2 linked regions of the Stegostoma tigrinum genome follow. The protein of the gene in region 2 purifies or fractionates together with the protein of the main gene of each other region. This does not show direct contact. Links are inferred from orthologs where the notes say so. Each region holds a gene or a part of one and is shown on either strand. Other genes may lie near its edges.

Evidence for each region. The genes of interacting proteins can lie anywhere in the genome.
Region 1: the proteins of cep76 (region 2) and cep97 purify together in Homo sapiens (co-immunoprecipitation; 4 studies listed by BioGRID and IntAct, with this or other methods). This does not show direct contact. The link is inferred for Stegostoma tigrinum from reciprocal best matches to the Homo sapiens genes CEP76 and CEP97.

Annotation. Positions count from the first base shown.
Region 1 is NC_081365.1:30,102,558-30,113,073, reverse strand, and holds the start of cep97 (centrosomal protein of 97 kDa), read right to left. Parts: upstream 4,476-10,516; 5' UTR 4,304-4,475; coding exon 4,249-4,303; intron 1-4,248. Other genes in the region: rpl24 (large ribosomal subunit protein eL24), read left to right, coding at 4,553-4,557, 4,686-4,761. UniProt on the Homo sapiens protein: Acts as a key negative regulator of ciliogenesis in collaboration with CCP110 by capping the mother centriole thereby preventing cilia formation. Required for recruitment of CCP110 to the centrosome.
Region 2 is NC_081358.1:117,630,890-117,641,708, forward strand, and holds the start of cep76 (centrosomal protein of 76 kDa), read right to left. Parts: upstream 4,425-10,819; 5' UTR 4,354-4,424; coding exon 4,255-4,353; intron 1-4,254. Other genes in the region: psmg2 (proteasome assembly chaperone 2), read left to right, coding at 5,142-5,207, 7,431-7,602, 9,493-9,551. UniProt on the Homo sapiens protein: Centrosomal protein involved in regulation of centriole duplication. Required to limit centriole duplication to once per cell cycle by preventing centriole reduplication.

The DNA.
Region 1 (10,516 bases), on a different chromosome or scaffold from region 2:
TAGATCAAAATTTAAAATGGCCATTATGCCAAAACTGGCAAATTGTGCTAGGTATTATCCCCTGCCTGCAGTACAGAACCATCCAATGCCTTTTAGTCAAGGTGATTAATTTTTCTCAAACAGTTTCAGCCATAAACTTTTATTGTCAATTTAATTTTAGGAAGGCAGATGGGTTATTAACACTGCTAGGGGGAGCTATTGTTCATGATTTTTGGTTATTCTTGGCAGATTTCATTAGATTTTAATAGGGTCTGCATGACTGCTTCCTAGAAGAATAATGGACTAATCCAAATAACAACCGAATGTGCTTCAGGGAGGCTTTGAAAGATTCTTTTTCTATTTTAATGAGAGTGAGCATTATGAAGTATAAGTCCTTGCTTGTGCCTTGTAGGTGGTGGACAGGCTGTGGAGAGTTGAGACAGCGAGAGATAGTCTCAACTTAGAGATTGTCGTTACCTGGCAGGAATGTTACTTGCCATTTATCAGAGGGAAGCTTGGACGTTGTCTACATCTTGCTGCATTTGGACATCGACTACTCAATATCTGAGAAGTCTGAACAGTGCTGAACCTTGTGCAACCAGAGAACACCCCTATTTCTGACCTTCTGAGGGAAGAACTGCATGAATAACAAAGTCACCAACAATGTTGTTTTCCTCCTCGCTTAACAGCATTTTCTAATTCATGCTTGGAATATTGACCCATCACTGAAAGACCAATGTTTTTTACCCCTTCCTAACTGCCCTAAAGAAAGTGGGACTGAGCTGCCTTCCTGAATTACTGTAGCCCATCAGCGGTGTATAACTTTAGTATTAGGAAGGTAATTCCAGGATTTTGATTCTCCACCAGTGAGGGACTGACAATATAGTTTTTCAAGTTATGATGTAGCATGGTTTGGAGGGGAAATTGCAAGCGATGGCATTTCTATGCATCTGCTGCCATCTACCCCCACTGCACCACACAACCAGCCCAGCCCTTCCCCCCCACCCACTGCATCCCAAAACCAGTCCAACCTGTCTCTGCCTCCCTAACCGGTTCTTCCTCTCACCCATCCCTTCCTCCCACCCCAAGCCGCACCCCCAGCTACCTACTAACCTCATCCCACCTCCTTGACCTGTCCGTCTTCCCTGGACTGACCTATCCCCTCCCTACCTCCCCACCTACACCCTCTCCACCTATCTTCTTTACTCTCCATCTTCGGTCCGCCTCCCCCTCTCTCCCTATTTATTCCAGTTCCCTCCCCCCATCCCCCTCTCTGATGAAGGGTCCAGGCCCGAAACGTCAGCTTTTGTGCTCCTGAGATGCTGCTTGGCCTGCTGTGTTCATCCAGCCTCACATTTTATTATCTTCCATCTAGTGGTATGGTTTATAACATGCTGTTGAAAGAACCTTATAAGTTGCCCAAATGCATCTTGTGGATGATGCAAACTGTTATGCATTGTGTGTTGGTAGTCAAAGTAGTGAATATTTACAGTGGTAGACAGAACTCCGATCAAGCTGCCTGCTTGATCAGGTGAGCTTCTTGGATATTGACAAAGCTGTACTAATCCAGGAAAATCCAGTTGGTGTAATTCCAAATGAGACCAGTTTATGCCTAGATTATTACATTTATGTATACGAACATTTTTCAATCCAGTATCTCCAGGGTTTCTGGAACCAAGTCATCCTGTAAACTAATTGATTTCTTTGAAGACTTCTTTCAACCCAATTGTCTCATTTACCTAATTATTTCCAGTTTTTGGATAGGAGTTTAGTGAAATCATACCTGTAATACTTTGTGCAGTTCTGGTCTCTGTATTTAAAGAATGATATCCTTGCATTGGAGGCAGTACTCAAAGGGTCCTGGGATGATAAGGCTATCCTTTGATGAGGGACTGAGTAAACTGGTGTAATATTCTCCAGAGTTTAGGGGAAAAAAAAGTGAGGTAAATCTCAAAAAAAATTCAAGATTTTGATGGAGTTGACAGCGTCGGAACACGCTTATTTCTCCTGTCTGGAGAATCTAGGAAGATGGGATCACAGTTTCAGGACAATGGGACAATCATTTAGGACTGAGATGAAGAGAAATTTCTTCACTCAAAAGACAGTAAATTATTGGAATTTTCTACACAATGAGTTGTGGATACTCTATTATTGAACATAATTAAAGGCTGAGATAGACAAATTTTTGATCTCTTTGATCATCAAGGGAGATAGGAGTCTTGCAAGAAAATACTACGACCAAAGATCAACCACAATTGTACTGCACAGCAGATCCGGCACTTTCTGCTATATAAGCTTGCTCCCAATTACTATATTCCTCTCACTTAAACGTCACCTTTGTCACCCAAGGAAGCAATAGAAACAATACTCAATGGAAACACCTTGTCTAAGTTAGAGGTTTGAGGGTTCCCATTTTGCTCAGTGAGAGTGTAGATAAACTGTGCTGACACTCCGGACAGTACACCACTCCGTCTGTACTGCACAGAAGTGCCATCTTTCAGAGTGGATGCTCTAAATCCAATTAATGCTCTTCTGTGCAGTGTTAATGAATAGATAGAAATTTGTTTAGATGGCCTTTCAGTATAGATACTGTCTGACTGGTTTGTTTGTGTCATATTCAAGTTTAACGATTAAACCAAATTTCTGATCAGCAGGTTTCCATTAGAAAGAGATTGCAGTACCACATTGGCCACCCTGCATTTCTTATTTTGCAGCAGGAACTATAGTAAAATAAGTATTTAATTAGCAGGAAGATGTTTTGGGCTGTGCTGAGGTTATGAAAGACACTATACAAATTCAAGTTCTTTCTCAAATTGCAACAAGTTACAAGATTTTAAATTTAATTGGCAAATGAAGTTCATCACCAATAAAAACACACAAGAGCATAAGAACAAGGAGGAGTGGGCCATTTGGTATGATCATGGCTGATCTCATCTCAGGCTCAATTCCACTTTCCTGACCACTCTCCATAATCCTTCAACCCATCACTAATTAAAGTTTTCCTTAAATTTATTCAATGTTCCAGCATCCACTGCACTCTGGAGTACTGAATTCCTCAAACTTATGATCCTTAGAGGGAAGCAATTTCACCTCATTTGTTTCTCCTTATTGTAAAACAACAATCTCTTATTCTAGATTGCCCCACACGAGGGGATATCCTTTTTATGTATACTTTGTCAATGTCCTAAGGCATCTTACATGCCTTAACTAGATCTCATTCTTCTAAACTCCAGATGAGGTATTGTATTTCAGAAAGAAAAATAAGGAAATGCATTTTACTTGGAAAAGAAGCATCTAATTAGAGCAAAGGGGCAAAATAATTTGGCCATACAAAAAATAGTGATAGACACTAAGGTGGTCATTAAATCTAGGTAAGTGGAGTACTTTTTTAAGAGGGGCAGAATTGAAAGAAAAAGTTACACTAACCATCTATCAAAATTTGTAACTTCACAGCTGAAGCACATCAAATTCTAGTACATTACAAAATGACAGCAAGGCAGGAGACAAAATGCAAAATGGGTTCGGAAGATGTTAGCAGATACAGGAGGCTATACTATCTGTAGGCTGGATTTTTTTTCCTTCTGAAAAGAGGCTGAGGGTTGAAGAAATTGAGGTCTTTAAAATTAAAGATTTTGACAAAGTGAACACAGAACAGTTCCACTTGCAGGTAACTAAAAAACTACAGCCTACGTCAAATGCATAACTGATAAGTGAAATCAGTAGAAAAAAAATCCTTACTAAAGATTGTCTGAGAATGTGGAAGTCATTTCTACAAGGGTGATTTAAAAGAATAGATGTATATCCATATGCAGACCACCATACGTTCTAGAGGAAGGCTAGATAAATAAAGAAATGGTAACAGAGGGGTCTTCCGATAGATTAGGTGGGAATGCTTAGGAAAAGGCTGCAGGGAAGTATAATAGCATAGGTTAGTTGGGCCAAATAATCGGTTTCTATTTTGTGCATCCTATCCACATTAAGTTACTAGGCAATAAATATAAAAGAAAATGGTAGAATCGCGTGTCATTAGGGGAAAAGAGAAGGCTTATAAAAAGTTAGAACATTTTGGGGAAGGAGTACACTTGCCGTCTGTTGGAATTGTAGCTACAAGTCTCTGACCACCGCCCGCACCTTTACAGTGATCAGTGATCAACTACAACCTCCGTCCAGACTTCAGCAGTGGTATGTCCCAAGGGAAATAAAACAGCGACGTGTCAGTACAATCGGACGGTTCAAATACGATGCTCAGAATCACAATCAAGCACTTACTCTCATCTGTATTAACCATCATGTCAGGAACCTCTCCGCCCTGAACCGCCATCATGCAGCAACTTCCCGCGTGCTTAACGCCAAGCAACCACTCCGCTCGCTGATTGGCTTCCGTGAGGGCTCAATAACACGCCACCCTTTTTTCGAGAAACAATCAAATTCGTTTAAACTGTTTCCTCCAAACATATACGTTTTAATTTTGCAGCCGCGATTTGTTTTATATTTCTTCCCACTCCTCCCCTCCGGAAACGCGAGGGCTTTACCCACAATCCTCCTTTTCTCTCGCGCCATCTTAACTGTCGTCATGAAGTGAGTCTAATCGCTAATTTAATCCTCTTTCATCCGCTGTTTTTGCCTGTAAAGTCATTCTATCCGCGGTTAAGTTATGAAGTTCCTTAATATAAGCGACCGTGATGACTGGTTATTTGTTTCCTCAGGGTCGAACTGTGCAGTTTCAGTGGGTATAAGATATACCCGGGTCATGGGAAGCGCTACGCCAGGATTGATGGGAAGGTAAACGCAAGGAAAATTCTGAAGTGGTGCAGTGCTGCTCGAACTGGCTCTTAAATACGTTAGTTCACGCAGATCAAATAGGGCACCGTGTGTTAATGTGTTGAATATGTGCACTGAAATCGCGTATCTTGGGATTCATTGAGTCGAAACGTGAATTGACCAGGCCAATATCCTTTTGTAGAAATAACAAGGTGTAGAACTGGCTGAATACAGGAGGCCTAGCAGCATCGGAGGAGCAGGAAAGCTGACGTTTTCGGGTCTGGACTGCTTGCCCTGCGGTGTACATCGGCTCTACACCTTGTTATCTCAGATTCTCCAGCATCGGTAGTTGCTACTAACGCTGAATCCTTTCGTAGATCTGTTTGTTAAGAATCTGTACAGCTCGATCTTGCCAAGACTTTTCACTTGTTTCTTTTCGATAGTAATATTCAGCCTTTTTAAAATTTTTAAATCAAGTAGCGTGTAGACCAATTGAGCCTATTTTCGTACTGATGCAGTACAATTTTGTGCAGTAGTAGATCGTTAGACTTCCTTTAAAGTGAAGTTTGAGTTCACTATTCAGCTTCTAGCTTAATGAATATGGCAAATTATCTAAACAACTTATTTATTTTTTTAAAAGTTGCAAATCTCAGTTTGGGACTGTATGGATGTGTTTTAACACGATCTGTCACGTCCTGTGCTTGCATGGGAATAGTTGAAACCTTCATGAAATTAAGGTGCTAAACATAATTGCAAAGTTATGTTAATGTTTTGTTTTTTATTTAAGTGTCAAATAAGGGACATAAGATTTCTAGATAACTTAGTTTAAACCTAGGTTGACTGAGAATATCTTTCTAAGAACATCTTTCTAAGAACAGTTAGTTGTTGATTTAGTCTGTCAGGACCTTTTGCTATGTTTGATGGAGATTCTGTTTGTATTGGTAGAGAGTAAAGGATCTTGTTACTTGCCAATTAAAGACATCAGCTATACTAGTACAAAGCTGTGGTAGAGTGGAAAATCCTAGACAAAACCAGAAATTGCTAGTGAAACTCTGGGAAGAAAATGGAGTTTACGTTTCAAGTCCAGTGACTTCTCATCATAACTAGACTCAAAATATTAACTCTGCTTTCTTATCACAGATGTTGCCAGATATGCTGTCTTTCAGCAGCAATTTGTTTTTGTTTCAGACCTACGTCATCGGTATTTCTTTGTTTTACTTTTGTGAAAGATCCTAGTTTTGAAGACTTGCACTTTCACTACATTAGAATGTTTCAGGCAATTTTGCGACCACTGTTATGTAATGCTGGAACGTCTGACACCAATGAACAACTTGTATTTATAGCACAGTGAAAGTATTGAAAACATCCCATAGGAGCATTATAAAAATTATAGCCATGTCTCTTTGGCAGATGACTGAAAGTTTAGCCAAATGTAGAATTTAAGGAGCCTCTTTAAAGGAAAGGCGAATAAATTGAATGGGGGTGCTTAGTGAGTTAATACCAGAGCATTCAGCTGAGGCAATTGAATAAGGATAGAGGGGCACTTGACCAGTATATATTTTGTTGCAAATCTCTTGTAGAGTTGGAGGTAATTGTTGAGGTATGGAAGGAGTTGAATAGAAAAGTGAGCACACTTTTTTAAAATAGGTGTTGCGTAGAAATGATGGATAAATGGTGTTTTGAGATTTGGCAATGTTTTGAACAATCAGGTCCATGAAGTATAGGATTTCATTTGAAAGATGAAACAGTACTTGAAAGAGTCTGTCACTCTTGACCTGTGTTCAGGTCATTGGGTGGGGTTAAAAAATCATAATATGCTGTCTTGAGGTGAAAATGGAACGTGTTCTGTAATGACTGACATTTTCGTTTCAGTTCTGTGCTCTTAACTTGGACAACTGATGACAATATCCAGGCTAGAAAGTGAAATATTTTACCAGGCATAGAAACAGAAAATATGAACCAGGAAGACTCTTTGGCTCCACCCACACATCGATGAATACTACTCATGTTTGGACATTGAGCAGTTTTCTGCTGAAAAACCTTGTCACACCTACTGACTCCCACAACTACCTAGAATACACTCCTCTCACCCACCTTCCTGCAAAAAGATCATCCCCTATTCCCAATTCCTTCGCCTCTGCCGCATCTGTTCCTGTAATGAAGCATTCCACACCTGGACATACCAGATGTGGTTCTTGGGGGAAAAAAAAGGACAACTTCCCCTCCACAGTGGTTGAAAATGCCCTCGACTGTGTCTCCTGCATTTCCCACAACTCATCCCTCTCACTCCCTCCCTGCAATAACAACCAAAATAGAATCTCCCTCGTCCTCGCATACCACCCCACCAACTTCCAGATCCAACGCATCATCCTCCGACTCTTCAGCCATCTGCAATCTGACCCCACTACCATTGACATTTTTCCCTCCCCACCCTTCCCTGCTTTCCAGAGGGACCAGTCTCTCCGTGAATCCCTTGTCCGCTCCACACTCCCCTCCGGTCCCACCACCCCCAGCACTTTTACCTGCAACCCGAAGCACGTGCTACACCTGTCCCTATACCTCACCCCCATCCCAGGCCCTACGAAGACCGTCCACATCAAACAGATGTTCACCTGCACGTTTGCTAATGTGGTATACTGTATCCACTGTTCCCGATGTGGCCTCCTCTACATCGGGGAAGCCAAGCGGAGGCTTGGAGACAGCTTTGTGGAACATCTATGCTCAGTTCACAACAAACAACTGCACCTGCCAGTCATGAACCATTTCAACTCCCCCTCCCGCCCCTTGGATGACATGTCCATCCTGGACTTCCAGCATTGCCACAATGACGCCACCCGAAGGTTGCAGGAGCAACATCTCATTTGCTTGTGAACCCTGCAGCCTAAGGGTATCAATGTGGACTTCACAAGCTTCAAAATCTTCTCTTCCCCCTACCGCAACCCAAAACCAGCCTAGCTAGTTCCCGTCTCCCTAACCATTTCCTCCCACCTCAAGCCCCAACCTCATCCCACCACCTTGACCTGTCCACCCTCCCTGGACCAACCTATCTCATCTCTAACTCCTGACCTATATTCACCTTCATTGGCTCCAACCCCGCCTGTTTGACCTGTCTGTCTCCTCTCCACCTATCTTCTCCCCACCTATCTTCTCCTTCATTCATCTTCTATTTGCCTACCCCCCTCTCTCCCTATTTATTTCAGAACCCCCTCCCCCATTTCTGAAGAAGGGTCTCGATCCGAAAGATCAGCTTTCCTGCTCCTCTGATGCTGCTTGTCCTGCTGTGTTCGTCTAGCTCTATACAGTGTTGTCTCGGATTCTCCAGCATCGGCAGTTCCTACTATCTCAGACTCTTTGGCTTCTCGGCTTGCGCCTTCATTTGTTATGACCACAGTTCAGCATCCTTCAGTACTCTGTTCCTACTTTCTTCCCATTCCCTTTGATTCCCTTAGCCACAAGAACTGTCTCAAACATCTTCTTGAAAATAGTCTTAGAGATGTACAGCATGGACAGAGTCCCTTTGATCTAACTTGTCCATATCAACCATATTATATCCAATCTAAATCTAGTCCCATTTGCCAGATTTTGGCCCGTATCCCTCTAACCCTTCCTATTCATATACCCCTCCAAATGCCTTTTTAAATGGTATAATCGTACCAGCCTCCACCACTTCCTCATTCCATGTATGCACTACCAAGAAAAAGTTGCCCCTTTTGATCTCTTTCAAATCTTTCCCCTCACCTTAAACCTATGCCTTCTATTTTTGAACTCCCCCACCCTGGGAAAAAGACCTTACCTATTTACTTTATCCGTGCCCCTCATGATTTTATAAACCCTCAGTCTCTGATGGTCCAAGGAAAATAGCCCCAACCTATTCAGCTTCCTACAATAGCTGAAACCCTCAAACCCTGGTAATATTCTTAAAACTTTTCTGAACCCTTTCAAGATTTGCCACATCCATTCTATGGCAAGCAGACCAGAATTGCGCACATTATACCAAAAGTGGCCATGCCAATGTCCTGTACAGCTGCAACATGACTTCCCAAATCCTTTACTCAATGCACTGACCAATAAGGGCAAGCATACCAAATGCATTTACTATCCTATCTACCTGGGACTAAACTCCATCTGCCACTCCTCAGCCCATTAGCCCATCTAATCAAGATCCCATTGTACTTTGATGGAACCTTTTTCACTGTTTGCTACTGCCCCAATTTTTGGTGTCCTCAGCAAGCTTACTAACCATACCTCCTTTGTTCACATCCAAATCACTTATAGACAAAAAGCAGTACCCGCTTCAGCGATCTTTGTGGCACGCTGCTGGTCACAGGCCTCCAGTCTGAAATGCAACCTTCCACTACCACCACCAGCCTGTCTTCTACCTTTTTTGAGTCAGTTCTATATCCAAAAAGCTAGTTCTCTTTCTATTCCATGTGATCTAACTTTGTTGATTGGTGTACCATGCGGAACTTTTCGAAAGCCTTACTGACGTCCATATAGATCATATCCAGTGCTGTGCCCTCATCAATCCTCTTTGTTACTTCAAAAAAATCAATCCACTCAGTGAGACACAATTTCCTAAGCATAAAGCCATTGTTTTTGTGCCAGAGAAGCCCACAGGCTCAACACTTCTTGGATGAAGAATTTTTTTTCACAGATCAGTCCTAAATTTCTTGCCCTCTAACCTTAGACTGGCATCCCTGGTTCTGGACTCTGTTCATTGGGAACATCCTTCCTGTATATATCTTGTCAGTGAACGTAGATGTAATGGACCCCGTCTCTCTCCATTCATCAGTCCTGCCATCCCACAAATCATTTGGTAAACCTCTGCTGTACTTCTCCAAAGCTAGAACATCCACCCTCCCAGAAGGAGACCAAAACTGCACATGTACTCCAGAAGTGACCTCCCCTGTCATTATGAAGGCCAGCATACCATCAGCTATCTTCACTGCTTGCTTTCAGTGACTGATATACAACCCAGGTCTTGTTGCCCCTTCCCCTTTATCATCTGAATGGTGATAGACTAAGTGGGTAGGAGAGACTTTGGTTATTCACCCCATCCGTGCTCGTATCCAAATGACTAGCTCTCCTTGTGAGCTAACTTTGCTAACCAGTCTACCATGCGGAACTTTGTCAAACACTTTGCTAAAATTGATATAGTAAATTACCACCTCCCTGCCTTCTTCAGTTCTCTTTGTCACTTCAGAAAAACACAATGAAGTTTCCTGTCCATCAGAATCCCCTCCAAGAACTTAGCCATCACTGAAGTCAGGCCCACTGCTCTCTAGTTGGCGAGCCACCCTCCGGTCTTACCTCTCCTCTTTCCACACCCCACCCACCCCACCCTTAGGCTACTAATGATAGATATCTCAGCAGGGGGCCTAGTGATTGCTTCCTGCAAAGTTCTGGGATACACGTGATCACATCCCAGGGATTTATCCACCTTTATGTGCTTAAAGATATCCAGCACCACCACCTCTCTGATGTGGACACTTTAAGATATCACTGTTTATTTCTCAAAGTTCTCTAGTTTCCATATCCTTCTCCATAGTAAATATTGACATTGAAATTTTCATTTAATATCTCCTCCATCTCCGGTTCCACACATAGACGGCCTTGTTGATCTTTAAGGGGCTCTGCTTTTCCTGAGTGACCCTTTTGGCCTTGATGTATTCTGAAAAAATTCTAGCATATTTGTTGAGCATGATTTCCCTTTTGTAAATCCATGCTTTACCCGATTCTATCCCTTTTCTGAAAGCTTTGCTAATAAATCTTTTAA
Region 2 (10,819 bases):
AGCACAAATGTCTGCAGTACACACACGCACATTGTGACTGAAAGGCAAGTTTGTCACATCCGGAAATGGCACAACTGACAACAGCACCCCTCCTTACCCCAGGTTAAAGTAATTAAAAATCCCTGCAGCTCTAGCGAGATAAGAGCTATTTTTTATGGCCTGATTAATCACTGTTTGATCCTTATACAAAATGTGAGGTTGCAACTCCCTCTATTTGGAGGGGGCTGCTGCTCTATTTCTGGCAGGGTTTTAGTCCCATGTTTCTGAGCTTTGTCTAGTCAATGCAAAAGGAATCAACAAGGCAGAAGCTACTTCATGCTGCTCTGATTTGGCAGAAGTGACCATTGACAAGTCTTGCTGAGTAGAGTCTATGCAGCTACCCAGAGTTCTCCCACAGTTAGGACCACATTCAGATTTACCAGGGAGAAAAAAAACACTGTCTCTCAAGGCTCTGCAATCAGTAGGAAGAGTGGACATACAGAACAAAATTATAATTTAAAATAAAAAACAGTAAATATTGTAAATACTCAACAGGTTTATCATATATCAGTGAAACAGAAACAGAGTTAACATTCTAGGTCAATGACCTTTTCCTTGCTCAAATGTTAATCTAAATGTTACTGAGCAAATTGTTGGAGCTGTGGACTGACAAGTTCCTTGGTCCTAAAACTCTTCAGCCTAGAATCTGAAAAGTAGTCGTTGAGACAGTGAGGTGTTAATTTAAACTTTCATTAAATATAAAATAGCAAATATAACTCAGTTACTTGAAAAGGGAAAGCATCAAAGCAGGAAACTACAAGTCAGTTAGCTTAACGTGTTATAGGAAGCTGTTAGAAGCTATTATCAAAGCACAATAGCAGAATACTAAGAAAAGTTCAAAGTAATCAGACAGAATGGATTATTTGAGGAAGTAACATGCTTGGATAAAGGGGAACTGATGAATATAAAGGGAATATACATTATACATACAGTGATTAAGCAAATGGATGAAAACTTGGGAAATAAAGATTTGTCTGTTTTGGCAGGAAGAATAAAAAAGGTGTGAGATTGCAGAGCTTTGGAATGCAGAGGGACCTGGCTGCTTTAGTTATGAATTGCAAACAGTTATAATGCAAGTTAAATTATTAGGAAAACTGATAGAATATATACATGTTTTGTTGTACAGGAAATGAATAGAAAAGTAGGAGTTTATACTTCAATTATACAGGGTATTGGTGAAACCAGATCTGGAGCATTGCTCTCCTTATTTAAGGATGTAAATGAAGAGGCAACCTGATTAAAATATTCAAAGTGCAGGCCATTTCAAGTTTGATCCACCATTCAAGAAGCTCATGTTTGATCTGATGTTAACCTCAACTCAACATTCTTGCATACTCCAATAACGTTTCATCCCCTTGGTAATAAAGAAGCTATTTCCCTCTGCTTTTGAAAATATTTAAAGATTCTGTTGACTGCCATTTGAGGAATGGAACTTCAAAGACTCTCAACCCTGTTTTTTCTTCCAACCAACCCCCCTCATCTCTGTCCCTAAATGGATGACTCTTTACTTTTAAATTGTGACCTCTAGTTCCTGATTCTCACACGAGAAAACATGTTTTTGACATCCGCTGGTCAAGATCCTTTAAGATTCAAATCACCTTGATACTTCTAAACTCCAGTTACAGGCTGAACCTGTCCGTCCTTTCCTCAAAGGGAATTGGCTCATTCCAAGTATTGGTCCAGTAAACCTTTTATGAACGGCTTCCAATGCATTAACACCAGTTCAAAACTACAGTGATCAGTACTGTACACAGTACTCCAGATGTAGTTTCACCAGTACCCTGCACAACTCCTCTACTCTCACATACAATTCCCGTTGCAATAAAACACGTTATCTGCTTTCCTGATTATTTGCCTGGTTACTGCATATTAACCACCTGTGATTCTCACACTAGGACACCCGGATCTTTCTGCAACCTCTCACTACTTAGATATCATGCTTCTTTATCTTTCTGCCAAAAAATTCTCAGATTGTATGTGAGAACAGAGAACAAATAACTAATGTTGTTCCTCTGTTCAAGAAGGGAAACAAGGATAATCCAGGAAACCACAGACCAGTAAGTTGCACATTGGTGGATAGGAAGCTATTGGAGAGAATTCTTAGGGTTAGGATTTACATTTATTTGGAAAAGCATGGCCTAGTTAGGGACAGTCAGCACGACTTTGTGCCTAGCAGGTCATATCTCACTAACTTGATTGAATTTTTCGAGGTGTTGATAAAGGTGATCGATAAGGTAGAGCAGTAGATATTGTCTATATGGATTTTAATAAAGCTTTTGACAAGGTCCCTGATGGGACTCATCCAGAAGATTAAGATGCATGGGATCCACAGTGACTTGGCTGCTTAGATTCAGAACTGGCTTGTCCATGGAAGGCAAGAGGGTAGCAGTGGGAGGGTGTTTTGCTGGCTAGCGGTCCACGAATGTTGGTGTTCAGTAGGGATCCATACTGGGATGCCTGCTGTTTGTGATATATATAAATGACTTGGACGAAAATGTAGATGGATGGGTTAGTAAGTTTACAGATGATACAAAAAAAAATATCACTGGAGTTATGGGCAATGTAGAAGATTTTCAAAGGATACAGCGGGATATAGATCAGTTGCAGAGATATAGTCAGAGAAATGGCAGATGGAGTTTAATCCAGATGCTATATTTTTGGAAGATCAAACGTTAGGAAAAAGTGTAGCTAATGGGAGGACCCTGAACAGCACTGGATCTTGGGGGGTTAAAGGCCATAACTCCCCAAAAATGGCCACACAAGGAGCTAGCATTGTAAAGCATGCTTGCTTTTGTTGATCAGGGAATGGAGTGCAACAGTCATGATGTCATGTTGCAGCTTTAGAAGATTTTGGTTAGGCCATAATTCTAGTTGTCAAACTACATGAAGGATGTGGACGCTTTGGAGAGGGTGCACAAGAGATTTTTGCGGATGCTTCCTGGATTAGAGGGTACGAGGAAAGGATAGTAAAACTTGGGCTGTTTTCTCTGGAGTGGCAAAGGCTGAGCAGAGACTTGACAGAAGTCTATAAAATGATGAGATGCATACATAGGGTTGACAGTCAGAATCTTTCCACACCCCCCCCCCCGAGAACTGAAATGTCTAATACGAGGGGGCATGTATTTAAGGTGACAGGGAAAAGTTCAAAGGAGATGCGAGAGGCAAAGTTGTATTCTCTTTTTAATAGTGTGGTAAGAGTCCAGAACGTGCTGCCAAGGTGATGGTGGAGACATGTACAATAGGGGCATTTATGGAAATTTTAAATAAGCACATGAATATGCATGGAATGGGGGGGGGGGGGAGAGAGATATGGACAAGTGCAAGCAAAAGGAATAACTTTAATTTGGCATCATATTTGGCACACTATGGACCAAAGGGCCATTCCTGTGCTGTGCTGTTCTATGTTCCATGTATCAGATAATTTCCCACTCACAACCTATATCCCTCTGAAGGCTCCTAATACCTTCTTCACAACTTACTTTCTTACCTAGCGGCATCATGAGCAAATTTAGCCAGCATACGCAATGTTGACGGCTCTTGACAGGTCACAGTCATAGATTTACAACACAGAAACAGGCCCTTTTGCCCAATGAGTCTGCACTAATCCATCTATTCTAGTCCCACTTTCCAACACTTAGCTCATAGTTTTGGATGGTATTCCAAGTGTATGTGGAAAGGAGAATCTAGATCTACAAGTCACTATTTAAAAATACAGGGTTATCCATTCAAAACAAAGATAAGTAGAAATGCTTTCTCAAAGAGAGACAGGAGTCTGTGATCCTCTGTTCATCAAAAGGCAGTTGAATAGAGTTCTTAAATGTTTTCAAGGCAGTCATGATCTTATTGGAGCAGGCAGAACAGCTCGAAGGGCTGAATGGCCTACTTCTGCTCATGATTTGTATATTAAATCTACAAAGAGGTAAACAGTTAACATGAACTGTTTCTGGCTTTACACAGATGCTGCATTTTGCTTTACACAGATTTCGCACGTTTTCTCCTATTATTTCAGATCCATAGTATTTGCTCTCATTCAAAGATCATAACTCAACAGGTTAAATTATTATGAAATGCAACTCGTAAAAAGAGGTCAAGAGCTAAAAAGTTAACCATTATTGTTGTAGCTGATTAGACATAATCTGGGATATGGACGGCGGCCTCACGCATCTTGGGCGACATCAAGGCCCCAGCCCGAGGCTGGACGCGGTGAGAGCTCACCTGGGTCAGCTGATTGTGAATGATTTGCTTGAGTTCCAAAGCCTTTTCTGGCGGCAGCGACATAGCGCTAGGGACCGTTTTACCAGGGTTTATCAACATGCACAACCAGCAGCCCAACACAAAAACAACTCGCCGCCAGCCAACCGTCTCTGCAGTCGACAAACACCACCCCTTCCTCCCAACAGCCCTCAAGCCCCGCCTATCACCACCCTCCAATCAGCATCTAGCCCCGCCCTTATCTCCAGTAGCAACTGCAGCCACCACCCAAACACAGCAACGCACCATCCCACCAACGGCCATTAGGCCCCGCCCTCTTACTGACGGACATCGAACTGCGCACACCTCCAAAACACCACATAAAAACGGAAAGAGAACCGACACGTTAATTCTGTGATGTTTTTGTTCACAGGTGCGGCCAGACCTTTTCCAGCAACTTCATGTTTCCAAAAGACCAAACCGACAGCGTTTCAACCCCGTAACCGCACTCACCAACTCTGCTAGACAACCACCCAGGCCAGCCTCACACTGATTACGACAAAGCCCCCCGCCCCCACAATATTTCAAGCCCCGCCCCTTCATCGGCTCACGGCTCGCGCTCTAAGTTTGAAGGCTTGAAAACGAAGCGGGAATTTCACCTCGCGCTTGCCCGTTCAACTGTCTGGCACAATGCTAAAAAAATCTGCAACAACTGGATTTGATCGCTCAACGTTGCAAAGCACAGCTGTAGCTAGTTGCTGCCTATAATAAGTGCGATTTTAAGAAAAACAACGCTCGTGCGCCCATGCCTCGCAATTTTGCGACGCTCTCAATGTATTGCCCACCCCGTGTCTGGGAAGAGGGAACGTCATCAGAAAGCGCCTAGCGGTTGAAGGAATTCAGGTGGTGGAATGGAGACGGTTTTCGTTCCGAGTGGGAATGGCTCCGTAAGCCTGAAAGGCTACACTCTGGTCATGGTAGGTAACTGAACAGTTATAAGAAATAGGAACTGGAGCAGGCCACTCGGCGTCTCGAACCTGCCTCACCATTCAAGGTGTAGAGCTGGGTGAACACAGCAGGCCAAGCAGCATCATTTCGGGCCCTTCCCCGCCTCCATTCTGAAGAAGGTCCTAGGCCTGAAACGTCAGCTTTCCTGCTCCTCTGATGCTGCTTGGCCTGCTGTGTTCATCCAGCTCCACACTTTGTTATCTCGGATTCTCCAGCATCTGCAGTTCCTACTATCTCTGCTTCATTGTTTAGTAGGATCGTGGCTGATCTGACGTTTTTCAAGAGATAACAAGGTGTAGACCTGGATGATCACAGCAGGCCAAGCAGCTTCAGGGGAGCAGGAAAGCTAACGTTTCGGGTCGAGACCCTTCTTCAGAAGAAGGGTCGTCTTCTTTCTGATAAAGGGTCTAGGCCCGAAATGTCAGCTTTCCTGTTCCTGCTCCTCTGATGATGCTTGGCCTGCTGTGTTCATCCAGCTCTACACCTTGTTATCTCGGATTCTCCAGCATCTGCAGTTCCTACTATGTCTGGCATTTCTCAAGTCCGCTTTCCTGCCTCTTTGCCATAACCCTTGATTTTCCCCAACTGGTCACAAATCTATCGATCTCAGTCTTAAATATACACGAGGACTCTTACCCCCATAGCCTTCTGTGGCAAGGAGTTCCAAAGACTCAACCCTGTGAAGGAAGAAATTCCTCCTCATGTCAGTTTTAAATTGGCTCCCTTTTATTCTGAGTCCATGTCCTCTGCTGTTAGACTCTCTTGCAAGGCGAAATACCTTCTTGGCGTTTACTCTTTGACTTGCTAGATGAGTGGCCAAGGTCTGAGAGAGGCCTCTGAATAGTATAAACCAATTAAGCCAAATGGCCTGTTGCCATGCTGCTAAGTTCAGTGTCATTTCATTCTGTGTAAAGTGTGCCTTTAGCACGGTTTATGGGAACTGTTGAAGATGTGGACTTCGCTGTACTGTAGACTCATGCTGGGGTTGCACCTACATTGGCCTTGTCCTCCTACATGGATCTACTTGACCTGATTTCTTGCAGATGTAACGTGTTGCTCCTAGTTTTCGTCCTCTTCCTCTCCTCAAAGGATGACATCAGTGTGTGGCAAATTGGGGTGAGTTGTGCATCCTCAAGGGATTCTGAAGGTATTGCTAGAGATGTGGGAAGTGGTCAATTGCATGAAAGGCTTTTACATGGGACACAGTTACTTGTGGCTAAGATTCCTTCCCACCACTGGCAATCATGTAGGAGAAAGTGAGTGTACGTGGCAAATATGTTAAAGACAACAGATGGGAACAAGATCAGAGAAACCTAGATGTCAAGGTTCATAAAGGTTAGAATTTTTAAAAAAATGAAGCCTACAGCAGGTACTGAATGTTCAATACAGAAGAGCCCCTAGAGAAATATGAAACTTAAAAAGGAGATTATGAAACCAAGAGACCGTATGAGAAATCATTGGTGGATAGAATAAAGGTTGTCTAGAACTAACTATCTGAAAGGGTTTTTGAGTCCAAAACTCATTCTTTAGATATTCACTTGTGTTGCCATAGTTTCCAGAGCTTTGGTCCATAAGCTAGGAAATGGGATTAGTGGGATCAGATCTTTGAGGACACAATGATGCCAAATGGCCTCCTTGTGCACCATAAATATGAGTTTGAGGCTGAAGACTGCTTGAGAAGGATGGGAAAGAATTAGGCACTACAGTCACAGGTATATAATTTCTGTTTTGTGACTTTGGTAAAGGCCATTTGAATATGTTGCAAACCTGGAGTTGCAGGCAAGATGGCCACTGATCTGGGAGTTGACAACACTTTAGGAGAGCAAAGGGAGCTTGGAAGATGATATTTGCAATGACAGCCTGGCCAGTGTGGATACTTGCTATTCAGCCCAACTAGAACTTGTTAGTCTAAAACAGGACTATGGAATATTATCATGATGTGAATCATTCCTAAACCTTTCTCAATATCAAGTCTACTATGGGTGGATGAAAATGAGGAGGAAGATGCAGCGAACACCACATGAATATGTACATTTTAAAAAAAAAAAATTTCCAATGCATTTAAAATAAGGTATGGCCAAAGTCTTACTCTTGTGTGTTGTTTCTGTGGAACCACAAAAGATCAAGTTAGTCATGTGGCAGAATGCAGTGAACACGTAACTTTTAAATAACTGAGCTTTTTGATGTTCCAGCCAGTTGTGTCTGTGGGTAATGTTGGTCAGCTAACGGTGGATCTGATCATTTCTACACTCACATTACCAAGGGTTGGTTATATCCACAGTGACTGCCTCCTTCCGGTGGTGGGAAACAATCCATATGCAACAACTTTGGAGAACTCAACAGAAATGTGTGTCAGCTCTGAAGGTGAGTGAGAGGGTAAAAGTGTGAAAAACTCTGATATAATATATCTAGGAATTTACATTTAGAAAACAAAAATCCAAGGTTCAATCCTCAAGAATTCCGGAGATATTTGGGGGTTGTGCCCTAGATATAATTAGAAAAGTGATAATCGTTCCATCCAGCAAGGCCAGATTGTGGTCAGTAGCATGAAAGGCTGTAGACTGCTCAAGAAGAATGAGGAGGGATTGTACAATGTGATCATGAATATGTAATCTGTCCTTTGCAACTGTGATTGATTAATAAAGTCATTTTAGTGTTGTGCAGGGGCAGAAACCAGGTACTTTCAGGGAGTTTTTAAAAGTTTGTGAAAGAGATAAATGAATCTGATTTGAGGCAAATTGTTCACTCTCATCAGTAATTAAAACACTACGTAATAAAAGTTTAAATGAAGTTGGCCCTTTTATAAGGCAAAGTTGTACACTATAAGAAATGGCACAAGTCTTTGTGAAACAGTTGGATGTGTTCAGAGAAAGAGTTAAGATGTCATTGGCAATTGCATGTTAATGATTGTCCACTGATGATGTGTTGTCTGATGAAAAGCTACTTAAACACTCAATGGTCTTTAACCTGTCTTCAAAATTCTTATTGCAGTTTTATTTACTTAATTATCCCTTTGAAGTGTAGCAAAGCTTTTTTTCCATTTGGTTTTTGGATATGAGTATCACTAGCAAGGCCAGTGTTTATTTCTTATCCCAAATTACTCAAGAAACTAGATCATTTCAGAGCGAAGTACGTTGCTGTGGATCTGGAGTCATGTGTAGGTCGTACTAGGTAAGGATGGCATATTGCCTTCACTGTAGGTCATTGACATAAGACTCTTCTGGTTCAATAACCATGTAGTTTATGAGCATTTATTAATGAGACTAATATATTATTATGGATTTATTGATTCAATTTTCAATTTCCCATCTGTTGTGCTCGAAGTTGATCCCATGTCTCTAAAGCAATAGAAGCATTCACTCCACAGACGTTGCAAGACCTTCTCTGTTTCTCCAGCACAGAGATAATATTAAAAACATTCGTCAAGGGTTCTGGCTAATCAAATATCGTTACTACCATGCCTTTGTTCCCCCTTTTAAGTTCATTGTGCCAACAACAAGAAGGCAGATGACAGTAATTTGTGTGAACCTGTATTTGAAGACTACAGTAGCTGATTAATTTTTATGCAGCAATCTCTTCCACAGTCCTTAATTTTAAAGAAGTCTTTTTCCCATTTCAGTCCAAAATGAGAATACAGAAAAATAATTTTTGCAATAGAAAACCAGTTCTTCTACGGGCCAACCCAGATGAAAGGAATGCAACCTTCAAATTAGAACTGGGCTCCGCATGTGTGACATGTGTTTCATTCACAAACAGTAGTAGAAATTTCAAATATTCTTTCTTTCCCTTCCTGTTAAAGCAATAGCTGTTGCAGCTAGATTAATCAATATTAAAACTGAGATTGATTTCCAACATTGTATCACTAGTATTCAAGGATATAGAATGAGAGTAGATGATGGAGTTAGGTACAGATTAGCTACGATCTAACTGATGGAATAGGCCCAAGTGGTTGAATGACTTTCTGAATCTGTGGTCCTGCTTCTGTTCTTCTAGTCCTGTATAAATGCAAGTCTTTATTTCTCAGTAGCCCTGCTCGCATAACATAGCTGGCATTGGAAAGCATGCAACTAGTTGGCTTATATTAATTATAATTGCCTCCAGTAAGAATGCAGTTTCTGGTTTTGAAATAAAACTTGATATTCTGGTAAGAGTTTTTAATATTCTTGAGGATGAAGTCTGTTAATTGATTCCTATAACACCAAAACTTGAATCTTTCCCCCCTAACCTTTTGTGTTACACATTACTATATTGCAGTTTACGCATCAGCAGACCAGAAGTTGGCAGTCCTGCAGATTCGATCCCCAGTTGTTCAGGTATTCAATGTAACAAAATCAGACACTTTTGGCTATCATGAATTGTGTTTTACATGGTTGAAATTTAAGTGAAGTTTTTGGCATTTGCCTTTTATTGAAATGTAAAGTTTTAAAGCATGATAAAAGTCTCATTGCATCCACACCAGTCACGAAACATCAGTCTATTGTAGTCCTGTTTTATAGCACTTGGCCTATAGCCCTGTAGCTGTGTTATTTCAAGCGCTCATCTACATAGCTTTTAAATGTCAAGGGTTAGCTGGATTGGCCATGCTAAAAAAAATTATCTTGTACTGTCCAGGGATATGCAGGATTGGTGGTTTTAGCCATGGTAAAAAAAATTCCATACAGGGTTACAGGGATGGAATGTGAGGGTGGATCTGGGAGGGGTGGGAGGGGCAATGCAGACTCGACGGGCCAAATGGACTTCTGTGATTTTGGGGTTCCTGCTTTTACCACCCTTTTCAGCAGTGAGTTCAGAGTGGAAAAAGTTTACCTTAGATCCCTTCTAAACTCCTGCTCCTTACTTTAAAACAGTCCCTCATTGTTCTTGGCCCTTCTACTCTGAGGAAAAGTTTTTCCCTATTTACCTTTCTGTACCCATTCCCATCAGCCTTCTCTGCTTGAAGAAAAACTATCCCAGCATATCTAGTCTGTCTTCATGGTTGAATCACTCCAGCCCAAGCAACATTCTGAAGAATCTGTTCTGAACCCTTTTTAGCACAATCACATTCTATTAGTGTGGTGACCAGAGCTCTATATAAGACTCCAGCTGTGGCTTAACTCATGTCTCATACAGTTCCATTCATAACCTCCTTGCTGTTTTGGCACTTTGGCTAGCAAAGGCGAGTATCACATATGCTGCCTTAATCACCTTACCTACCTGCCCCTTTGCCTTCAAGGATCTGGGGACTTTGGTCCGCTGCAAAGAGGAAGTACCCTCTAAGCTTCTTTGGGTGCTTCACTTCAGTGTGTGCTCCTTTTGTCTTGTTAATCTTCCCAAAATACATTGCCTCTCACCTTTTTCAGGATAAAAATGACTGGGAAAAAGATTGCAATAGAATGGTTATCAATTAATTTACTTTTCTGGTACTTGTAGTATGCACTAAATTTTGAGTTACGTCAAGACATTCGCTATGTCTGAATGACCTGGTTAACATCACTGTGACTGACCTATGTTCATTTAATGGAATGGCTTTCTATGGTTTTTGTGCTGTTTAAAGTATTGGAGAATTGTCTCCCATCTTGCAGCTAAAGATCAAATCGCTACG